3 linked regions of the Canis lupus familiaris genome follow. The protein of the gene in region 2 interacts with the protein of the main gene of each other region in a biochemical or structural test. Links are inferred from orthologs where the notes say so. Each region holds a gene or a part of one and is shown on either strand. Other genes may lie near its edges.

Evidence for each region.
Region 1: the proteins of SOS1 (region 2) and NCK1 form a complex in vitro, tested with the Homo sapiens proteins (2 studies listed by BioGRID). The link is inferred for Canis lupus familiaris from reciprocal best matches to the Homo sapiens genes SOS1 and NCK1.
Region 3: the proteins of SOS1 (region 2) and ITSN1 form a complex in vitro, tested with the Homo sapiens proteins (2 studies listed by BioGRID, with this or other methods). The link is inferred for Canis lupus familiaris from reciprocal best matches to the Homo sapiens genes SOS1 and ITSN1.

Annotation. Positions count from the first base shown.
Region 1 is NC_049244.1:33,889,219-33,892,872, reverse strand, and holds part of NCK1 (cytoplasmic protein NCK1), read right to left. Parts: intron 1,497-3,654; exon of another isoform or gene 1,475-1,496; coding exon 762-1,474; exon of another isoform or gene 728-761; intron 637-727; exon of another isoform or gene 490-636; intron 1-489. UniProt on the Homo sapiens protein: Adapter protein which associates with tyrosine-phosphorylated growth factor receptors, such as KDR and PDGFRB, or their cellular substrates. Maintains low levels of EIF2S1 phosphorylation by promoting its dephosphorylation by PP1.
Region 2 is NC_049238.1:31,169,074-31,173,393, forward strand, and holds the end of SOS1 (son of sevenless homolog 1), read right to left. Parts: intron 4,116-4,320; coding exon 3,997-4,115; intron 3,125-3,996; coding exon 2,633-3,124; 3' UTR 650-2,632; downstream 1-649.
Region 3 is NC_049252.1:28,942,902-28,946,555, forward strand, and holds part of ITSN1 (intersectin-1), read left to right. Parts: intron 1-3,195; coding exon 3,196-3,283; intron 3,284-3,415; coding exon 3,416-3,555; intron 3,556-3,654. UniProt on the Homo sapiens protein: Adapter protein that provides a link between the endocytic membrane traffic and the actin assembly machinery. Acts as a guanine nucleotide exchange factor (GEF) for CDC42, and thereby stimulates actin nucleation mediated by WASL and the ARP2/3 complex.

The sequences.
Region 1 (3,654 bases), on a different chromosome or scaffold from region 2:
TTACTAATATTAGAAAAAATATCTTTTATTGCAAATACATTTCAAAAACAGTGAGTATTAAAATAGGTTTCTGAGGTAAATAATAAAAGTGTATTCCAACTTCCAAACAACCAATCTATGAACAAACTTAAATCTCAATTTCTTTAATTTAGGGATTTCCTTTTATAAGGATGACAGCACATCCAATATGCAATTTAAAAAATGTTTTCTCAGGTGCACCTAGGTGGCTCAGTCAGTCAATCTTCTGACTCTCGATTTCAGCTCAGGTCATGATATCATGGTCGTGAGATTGAGCCCCGAGTCAGGCGCTGCATTGAGTGTGGAACCTGCTTGAGATTCTCTTTTCTCCTCTGCCCCTCCCCACACACATGTGGGTGCACATACTCTCTTCCTCTCAAGAAAAAAAAAAAAAATTTCCCCCAGTTTAGTCCATTGCATTGTTTTAACTCTGAACAGAGAAGTCACAGTTCAGTTTTCTCCATTTTTCAGTGTAATGCAACAGAAGATATTTCAGAAATGCAAGACCAAAAGAATTCAAAAGGCCAAATAATCCAGCATAGTTTAATCACTGCTAGGGCTGTATTTTATTCAAAATAAATATGGTTGGAAAGAACATTGACTTTAGCTTCAGAAAATGTAAGTATACATCCCAACTTATCACCTGATTAATTTTAAAGCAGCAACTTACTCTTTCCAATCTTCTATTTATTTTTTTTTTAATACTCAGAGCTCTATTTCTATTTATTTGAAAATCAACTTACCGAAGATTCACTATCACGAATGAGGAAATCACCTTCATGCCCTCTTTCATTTAATGCCATTTCTGCTTGATGCCTGGTGACTTTCCCATAATACCATGGATTGCCAGCAAACTTTCCAGTGAGTGAAGGCCTAATGTAATCACACTGAGGAGGTGATGGTTCCAAACCTGAGGTTAATGGATTGTTCTGCATAATGGTAACATAGTTTTTTGGCACCAGACCAACCATTCCATTGATCTTCCTGCATTTCCACCATTCAGGGTCATTTTCAGGCTTTTCAATAACATCCATTACATCTCCTTTCTCAAAATTAAGTTCTTCATCATTGGACGAACTGAATGGGTAAAGAGCCTGTACCACATGCAACACTTGGCCAGTATTTAGGTTATTGACAACTGCTGCTAATTTTTCTGACAGAGAACCCACATGGTCACCCAAAGGACTGTCACCTTCCTCAGTTACATAGTTTGAAGGGAACCATCCAACTTGTCCATTGTAGCTACCTCGCCACCACCCATCACTGCATTTCTCCATGACGATCACCTTTGTCCCTTTTATCAATGACAATTCATCCTCTCTCTCTGCCATGTAGTTAAATTTTACATAAGCAGGCATGTTGAGATCATACAGACGTTCCCCTGGGTCAACAAAGCTATCATCAGCAGGTGATGCAGAATCTGGCACACTGTGTTTTCTTTTCACTTTTCCAATGCCTGTTCACATAAAAAGAGTAATAAAAGAATATAAGATAATGATAACCAAAAAATACAATTTTTCATTATTAAAAAAGGATCTTTACCTCTGTAGTTTTTTTAAGCCTTTAAATTTAGATAACAAATTTCTTCTTTTTTTCCTTTCTTTACATCTTCATGACTTGTTTATTTTATAACTGGAAGTTTGTACCTTTTGACTTCCTTCACAAATTTTTTTCACAACCAAACATATAAATCAGTTATTATATGACAGTTTATCCTCTCATCTTTTCTTTCAAAGGTGCTGAAATAATTGTATAACATAATGACAATTTCCCTAAATTTAACAAAATTTCTTCCAAATATAGATTATTTCTCTCATATCTACAACCTAAGTACATAGGTTCACCAAACCCCTATGCTTGTCTTACTTTATCAATCTAAATTCTATAATTAGCTGTATAAAAATAAAACAACAAATTACAACTTGATATGCAATATAAGTTGTAGGTCTGTCTGGGTAATCCTTTCATTTGCTTTCGTAGTTCCCATATCCATGCTGCTCTATTTACCTCATTATGTTTATTTTATTTTAAAGATTCTATTTATTTATTCATCAGAGAGAGAGAGAGAGTCAGAGACACAGGCAGAGGGAGAAGCAGGTTCCATGCACGGAGCCCGACGTGGGACTTGATCCCGGGGCCTCCAGGATCACGCCCTGGGCCGAAGGTGGTGCTAAACCACTGAGCCACCCGGGCTGCCCTGTTTATTTTATTTTATTTTATTTATTTTTGCCCTGTTTATTTTAAAGTAATACATTATTTCCTTGTTTTTCTCCCCTCACCCTCTTCACATGCGAGCTCCAGAAGAGCAGGGATTTTTGTTTACTTTGTTCACAGATACAAAACCAAAAATCTCAGACAGTGCTTAGTACATAGTAGATGCTTAATACATATTTGTTGAAAGAAATGAGAAAAGAACCACATGGTACTACCATCATAAATGTATGCTATGTCAACTTTGATCATGTGTTTTCACTGCTGATCATTTCTTAGCACATGATTTTGTGTTCTGCTTTTTTTTTTGTTTGTTTGTTTTGTTGGTTTTTTTTGTGTGTGTGTTCTGCTTTTACTGAGAAAATGGAGGCACTCCTAGATAAAACTCCTCAAACCTTCTCACTATCTCAAAACTCCTTATTACCCTCAATCTTTTTCTTCATGCAAATTTTCAATCTCTGATCCTCCCAGGATTTTAAATACCATTTTTCCTGCCTCTTTTGGGACTCTTGGCCATCCCTGTTTCCCTCCTACTCAGATCCTTCTACTGTCTAAAAACATACTCAGATCATTTCCATTCCAAAATAAAGTTACTTCAATCCTGCTACTCCTTTTGAACTATACCATTCTTTAAACATGGTAAAAAGACTCTTTTTCCCTTCAACTTCTTCACCATTCACTCACTCATTCCTAACTTCTTATGATCTGATCCTTTAATCTCTACCATTCTACCAAACTACTCAATAAAAACCATTCTTATAAAAATTGTGTCATCTCTTTACTGCCAATCAATAACTTTTAGAGCCCTCATTCTTTTCAAACTCTCAAGGCAGCAACTAAGATCACAGATTATTCTATTGTTTTTCTCCTTTAACTTCCCTGAGAGTCTCCTGTCTTACCTACTGACCTGTTTAAATATTTTTATTTATCTCTGTCTGGGCTCCCCTAAACCTTGTTATAAAATTGTACTGTATTTTCTGTCTTCCTTCTTTAATACGAGTTTCCTGAAGGCAGGAAAAAATACCTTTGTATTTTCAGCACCCACATAATAGGAACAAAATAAATGTTTGCTGAATGAAAAAGTGAAGAGATTCCTCAGTTAAAAGCGTTTCCCAAAATATGATGCCTGAACTTCCTCTCTACTTCAAGGATATCTTATACTTTTGTTTTTTGTAACTTCTGTATAGAAGGTTCTAATAAGGTCTCTCTGCAGGTCTAAGCTCTGTCTGGAATTCAAGAACTATGATTCCAACTGTCACTAGACGCCTACAGATTGTAGATATTTGCACTTCAAATACAACAAATACAAGACATCTCTAAATAAAAATAACCTCTCCCATGCCAATAAATCAGTTCCCTGCCTCTCAGCTTCTTTACTTGTAGTTAATATCATCCCAAAAAATCCCCACATCAGGAATTTCTGGC
Region 2 (4,320 bases):
CAAGGATAGTTTTCTCACCTCTCTTTAAGGGCCTCCAATGGAAAGGTTTCTAATCCGTTACCACTGCAGAAAATATTTTTACCCAAATGTCAACTTTAGAATAAAAATATCCTCTATCCACAATGCTGATGCACAGTGAAGTGGTCTCCTAGAACCACTGGGGGTAGAAGAATGGTTCCCTTCGGGAGAATCATGACTAGAAACCAAATCTGAACTTTTCCTCTATACATGATCAAGTGAGTTGAAAAGCCTTGCTGAAGGCTGACACACTGGCCAGGGAGATTGTGAATGGGCTCCCATGTGACTTCTCAGGCTCGCATTTGAAATGAGGTGGGATAATCCAAGAGAAGTGATCAGTAAGACATAGAAAGGGAAATCGTAGGGAAAATGAGGCTGTTCTAATAAAAAGTCATGAGGGATTCTGGAATGTGCACTAGGATTAATTGTAGCAGCTCTAGTAAGTAGGCGTAGATAAACACTTGTTGAATGAATGGTCTTATGAACACTTTGTGTACACGAGTAGATTTGAAATTAATTTTGGAGGAGACTTTTAAAAGGAGACATTTTACAGATAGAAAAATGGCTACCATAATAGGAATGGTACAAATATTAAACAAAAAAAGATTCAACTCTAACAAATAAGAAAGGATATGATAGGATGGATTGTTTAATGATGATGCAATCAACATTCTAGTCTTAAAGGACTATATACTGTAATACTGGTGAAGTACATTTAATGCTCTAATAAAGATCACAGGAAATTATTAAAGTACTAGGTTTCCACCATGATGCAGCACTTCTAAAAATGTCTCTAATGGCATGGTTAACAGAATTGCTGAGATGTTGCTTCATTATTCTGAAGACACATGCAGACACTGATGACTCTCTAATGATGGAACACTGCACAATTCACAGACATTGTAGTAGAGATTAATAAAACGTTTTCTCTTCGACAAATTGCATGCATTTCAGTCACAGTATTGGTTAGACTCAGATCAGTACATATGCTTAATGAATAATCCATATTATGATACTAATGATGTAGGTAGATGTTCTATTATGAATAGAGCAAAGACCTCAAGCAAGGTAGAATGTTTAATATAACAATCTGTATACATGTTGCCTAGGAAATTAAAAAACAAAGTTCTGCTTAAAATACCCATTCTAGTCTAACCAAATTTTTTCCTACATGCCAAACTGTAACTTTAGATCATTCTTTAAGATGAAATACATACATCCAGAACTAGAAACCACGGCGTACCGCAATACGTGCTTTTATGCTTAGTGTTTGCATGTGATGTGTGTGTGTGTGTGTTTCAACTGAAAGAAATAAGAATCAACCATTTTCTCCATATAATAATTTAATATATGCCAGTCAAACAAAGTATTTGTATCTTTATTCAATTAAATTAAAACAGACCTGCCAGGTTTATTATATAACATTCACTATATACACATGATTTCAGCAATGCAAGGTAATTCTAGATATGCTGATTACTCAACTATCAGTAAAACATGAATGGTGTCAGTGATGCCCAGCAAGTGGTTCTTTTCACACTGGGTGACTACATTTCCAGAGTATGGTTAGAGGGACAGCTATGAGCCATGACATGGATTACCAGTAAACTTTTGTGGGAGAAGGGGGGAAAATAACAATCTAGCATAGATTAACAGTCTCCTAAATGTAAATCGTATACATGACAGTTACATTTTTAAAAAAGTTCTTCTGTCATGTTAATGACACAAAACTTATCTGGTTTGAAGGCAACACCACCATGTTTTGTTTGTGTAGGGAGGGTGGGGGAATGCTCTTAAAATTAGTATAATTACTCCTAAAAAGAGAGACAGAGAGAGAGAGAGAGAGAGAAAGAAAGAAAGAAAGAAAGAAAGAAAGAAAGAAAGAAAGAAAGAAAGAAAGAAAGAAAGAAAGAAAAAGAAAAGAAAGAAGAAAAAGAAAAAGGAAGGAAAGAAAAAGAAAAGAGAAAAGAAAAGAAAAAAGGAAGGAAGGAAGGAAGGAAGAAAGACAAAGTACCTCTTTGGTGAAGCCTTGGTACCCATTCACTTCACTGTAATAATCTGTAAACAGGACTGTGGCACAGTGCTGGGCCTTGACGCCAACAAGGTCAGGCAGCACAGCCACTCCTCACAGTCCTTTGAATGATTTTTAAGAAAATATTCTAAAGTAGGATGAGTAAAAGCAAAGGAAAACAAAGGAGATATGAAGATCCCTGTTTAAGATTTCTTTTTAAAAAGTGCATATTTTGAATTACAAAAACTGTCATCATGTGGGCCTGCTGGACACTAGACTGTGTTTTCCATCCCTTTAATGATAAAGATCACTTCACAAAAAGAGGACCCCTGCCTATCGGCTAGAAACAGTCCCTTCACTTGATTTTCAGGTGAAATCAGTTGTCCAATTCCTCTAGATCAGTCTTTCCATATTCTGAACGAATACCATTTTCATGTTCTAATTATGTCTAGGTTCAAGTTCATTGTCTCATACTGCATCCCGAAGGAGAGGCGTTAGTGTTTGGAGTTGTCATTTTAACTCCTCAGTGCTGGCACATTCAGTGCCCTCTATTGCCAGCCATGGAGCTGGGGCTAGGAAACGTCCATCCCAGAACAGAGAAACTCAGGAAGAATGGGCATTCTCCAACAGGGGTGGTCCATCTCTGTGCACAGATGGGTGTGTGTGCTCCCTTTTATAAGTTTTCGGAGGGAGTTTAGGGATATGTTGGGAAGTGCTTTGTCGTGGAGGAACAGGCGGCCCAGTGACTGAAGGAAGGTCCGCTTCTTGTGTCAATGGTGGTGATGGCAGATGCCTTCTCGTGCCATGGGGAGAAGGTGTTTGAGGAGGAGGTGGTGTAAAAGGGGAAGGGCTGTTTGGGAAGAAGGCATTGCCATGATCACTTTTTTTGCCCAGAGGGGGAGGCTGGAGATGTAGTGGTGAGCTGGAGAAAACATCAGGTGTCCTCACAGGTTCTCGTGGTGGTAATAAGGGAGGGCTCTCAGGAGGGTCTGATATAGAGGTCCGGTCTGATATTGAATATCGCGGTGAATAGGCTTTTGATGTGGGCTGCCTAGGAGGAATTGCTGGGGGGCTGTCCAAATGCTTAGACATAATCTGACACAAATGAGAAAAAGAATAAAACACAAATTTATTAATAATTGATGTAGTACCACAAACATATTATGAATTAAGTTGGGGTTTTCAAAAACACAACTGGTAGAGCCCTGGGTATGGTTCAGGGGGTTTTGCCATATGTTTTAAATGAGGGTTTAATACCAATTTGTTAAGATTTTTTTTTTCTAAGTTTTTATTTTTCTCAACATTTTGTCGCTTGCTACTGCTTACCTATCAGTCTAGTATAAAATCATTTACAATTTAACATAAGTTAATCTTATAATTTAAAACTTACTACATTAACATTTTTTGATGTTCTGCAAAGAGTGTCTTGACTTGTTCAGGTGCTCTGTTCTCTGGACACTTGAGAACCCCTGAATCAAGTTAAGAGTTGGCAAAGAAAGAAGCTTAAACAACTGGGGAAAAAAAGGCTATTATAAGCTGTTAAGGTCTCTTCCAACCCAGAATCATCAGGCAAATCCCATTTAAAAGCATGTCAGATCTGTTAAGGGCTCAGATAGGTAATGTTTAAGATTCACTTTAAATGTGCTTTCATACAAAGCTTCACACCTCTTTGCTTCTTTCTCTTTCCTTGCATAGTCTCTGCTTGAGACTACATTACTCTTTATAGATTAAGCTTGTTTTTTTCCTTGACAGTACCCATAATTTAGATTTATAAGGGTTCTTAAAACATACCAAAAAACTATGTTCAGAAGAAAATAAATAAACATAACTGCAGGGTAAATTGTATTTAGTTCTTGTCTACACTCTATTAAGCTCAGCTACCCTGAAGTTTCAGCCTAACCTGGTGGGAACATGATTCTACTGTAACCATAATGACTCCAGTGTCAAGATGACAGGATTCTACTTACCTTAGACGGTGAAGATTCGGCGGGGGCAGATTCCGGCCTTCTTCGTGGAGGAACAGGAGGGGGGACAGGTACTTCATCAGTGCCCTTGGTTAAACTTATAGATGATACTGAAGCAGATCCTGTAGGGTGTTACATTTTTTAAAAAGTTGACAGGTATTCTATTTCATCTCTTAATCCTGTAAAGGCTTAGCTGGAAACTGCTTATATTTATTAAAAGAAATGTACAGAATTATCAAAAGCAGTTCAATAAACCAGTACATAATAGGATTTCCTTTACTAAAGCAAATTGCTCTAAAAGCATGCAGAAATTTCCTAGCAGAATTT
Region 3 (3,654 bases), on a different chromosome or scaffold from region 2:
TCCAATTCATTCCATTCGTTTATCCCTACAAGTGTCCAGCATTTACATATACATGGAAACTAATAAAATTCTGGCTAGATTGATGGAGAAGAGGAGGAGGGAAAAGGAGAAAGAGCGGGGAAAAGTTGAAGAGGGAGAGAAGATGCAAATTCCCATTATAAGAAATGTAAGAACTGACATCGCTACAGATACTGTAGACTTGCAAAAAATTAAGGGAGTATTGTAAACAACTTGATACAAATAAATCTGACAACTTAGATGAAATGAAAAAATTCACTGAAAGATACAAATCATCAGGCTCAAGAAGAAACAGAAAATCTGAATAATACTTGTATATCTATTAAATACATTTTGCAGTTAAAAGTCGTACCACAAAAAAGCCTCCAGGCCCAGATGGCTTCACTGATGAATGAAAACTTTAAGGAAATAGTGCCATTTCAACACAAACATTTTTAGAAAATAGAGGAGGAAGGAATACTAATTTCTTATTTATTACCCCGATACCAAAACTAGGTAAGAACATTACAAGAAAACTATAAACCAGTATCTTTCAAGAATTTAAATTAAAAGATAATAATAGCATATTGAATCAAGTAAAATATTTTTGTAAATGGTAAAACACCATGACCAAGTATGGCTTATTTTAGGAATAAAAGGTTGGCTTAACATTCAAATTTCAACCAACATAAATCACCATACAAACAAGACAGAGAAAAAACTAACACATCTTGGTACATGCAGGGCAAAAAAAAATTATGACCCACTTCACCTATTCATGATGTAAAAAATAGTTTTTCATTTCTGATGTAACATTTTAAGATATATATCTACTTTTTTTTTTTAAGAGTTTATTTATTTATCCATGAGAAACAGAGAGAGGCAGGGTCACAGGCAGAGGGAGAAGCAGGCTCCATGCAAGGAGCCCAATGTGGGACTTGATCCCAGACCCCAGAATCACACTCTGAGCCAAAGGCAGATGCTCAAACACTGGGCCACCCAGGCGTCCCAAGATACAAAATTCCTTCTAAGCATTGTCATATAGCCATATTACAGAAATTTTTAATGTCTTTTCATATCCATTCAGTTCAAAATCTTTTTTTTATTTTCATGGTCATTTCTTCTTTGATGGGTTATTTAGAATTATGCTATTAGTTTCCAAATATTTTGATTGTTTTCCAGATATCTTACTGATTTCTGATGTATGTTATGAGCTGTGAGCATACTCTGTATGATTTTTAAGTTTACTGAGACTTGTTTTATGGCTTAGCATATGATCTGTGTTGGTGAATATTTTATGTGCATTTGTAAAGAATATATACTCTGTTGTAGTTGGGTGGAATGTTCCATAAACGTCAATTACAGCAAATTGATTGATCGTGTTTTTTGTGTTTTCTACATCTTTACTGATTTTGTGACCTCTTCCAGCTGCAGCGAGAGGAGTGTTGATAGCTCTATCATTGTAAATTTTTCCTTTTTCCTTCCAGTTCTCTCAGTTATTGTTTCATGTACTTTGAAGACCTAATCAATTTGAGATACTAGGATATGATATATAATGTAAATAGTATCAGATGTTCACTGCTAGAAATTGTTTAAACATATTAAAAAGTACATGTACCTTTTAAAAGTCTATTTTTCTATATGATAACTTTTTTTTTATATGTCTCTCATTAACTATGAGAAGTTTCATAAAATACTCTCTTGGAAAATGTAGGAATGAGGCTACATGTTTATTTATTATCTCACTGAATGCTCTGTGACCAAACACATTTTTATTATTTAAGATTGACACTTAGTGTGTTCATTTATTGGTAATAAAATACAAATCAGGGTCCCTGAAAAAATAGTAAAGTGAAAAATAATAAATGATTTCAGGAGGGCCTGGTATATCATAGGCTATGAGATATTGATTCCCCTTCTTTACTGTTATTAGCAAATATTTGCTATGCAGATGAGTCAGGTGGCCCTTCATATTTGCTTATGACTTTTTTAGGAATTTAGGTTGGCATTTAAAAGTGATGTTTATATAAATAAAACAGTCTCAGTATATGGACTAGGCTTTTTCTGGATGTGTCATTGTCTTGGTTCAAGAAAGAAACTTTGGAATTGGGTAAGGGGCCTTTCCTTAATTTAGGGAGGAGAATAGGAGAAGCTCAGTTGTCTGGGCCTTCTTGGGAAAACCATCTGAACTGTATATTCTGTTTTGTCAACTAAGGCATTTTTATTTTCTCAAACCAAAAATCAATGCATAGAGTTTTTTTCAAGTTTTTATTGAAATTCCACTTTGTTAACATACAATGCTTATTAGTTTCAGATGTAAGATTTAGTGATTCATCACTTACATATAACATACCCAATGCTCATCACAAGTGACCTCCTTAATGAGATTTTTTTTTAAACCAAGTTAAAAATGAAAGTCATATATTTGTTACTTTGTGCTGGAAAGGTTGTCATTTTACTGAAACGTATAGAAATAGAAACTATATAGGATAATATCAGGTAAACTTGTAAGCAAATAGTGCTTTGAGAGGTCATCCATGAAAACTCCAAATAGCCTTTTACAGTGTGCAGGTTAGTTTTCTTCTTATATCAGTTAAGAAATAGTTGGTTCAGGACTTTTGTATACCTGTTTAAAATTGTACATCCATCCTTGGTGGTAGAAAAACATATATGGCAGCCAAGATCCTATTGTTAGAAATCTCTTCTTGATTTCTATCTTTAGGCATATGGTAAACCTAATTCAGTGTTGAGAATTGTAATTCAGGTTACAAAGTTCAGAGTAGTTCCTATTCAAACTATGGAGTCATTTTCCACTAACAGAGTCACTGCATTTACATTTGATCCCAGTGCAAAGGAGAGATCATTGCTTTTCATTTTCTCTGCTGAATTGTACTTAAAGTACATTTCTAAAGCTTTATAAATAGGCAGTAAGTCAACAAAAATTTACAAAACCTCAAGAGAGCTATAACTGTCTTAACTTTATTTCAGTGAAAAGCATTTGGCAAATAGTTAATTGCTTGGCAAGAAAGCAAGAGCTGCCCTGACTGGTGATTAAATGCAGTTTCTATATAGGATTTGGGGTGAGATCAGATGCGTCTTTGAGGGACGAGAATACTGACTTACGTTTGCCCGGATGTGGAACGTAGACATGCTCGTTTTCCCTGTCAGTTCATTGTTGTTTTCCTTCCTCTCTCCTAGGAAGCCCAGCAAATGCTTGGAAGACTTATTCCAGAAAAGCAGATACTCAATGACCAATTAAAACAAGTTCAACAGAACAGTTTGCACAGTACGTGTTTTCTTTTTAAAGTTGGTCTTTTCCTTTTCTACTGGCAAGAATTTCCTTCGGTGAAATGAGAAGATTACATTTTTCTTCACTGCCCGTTTGCCTCTCTTATCTTGCAATGTTTTTCTAAAATAGGAGATTCACTGCTTACACTCAAAAGAGCGTTAGAAGCAAAAGAACTAGCTCGGCAGCAGCTACGCGATCAACTGGATGAAGTTGAGAAAGAAACCAGATCAAAACTACAGGAGATTGATATTTTCAATAATCAGCTGAAGGTAACTGTTCTGTGTGTCCCTACATATATGTCCTACCCTTGTAACTTTTCCAACTGGCCAGATGATTAGTTGATACTTAATTCCAGGGAGAAAAATTTA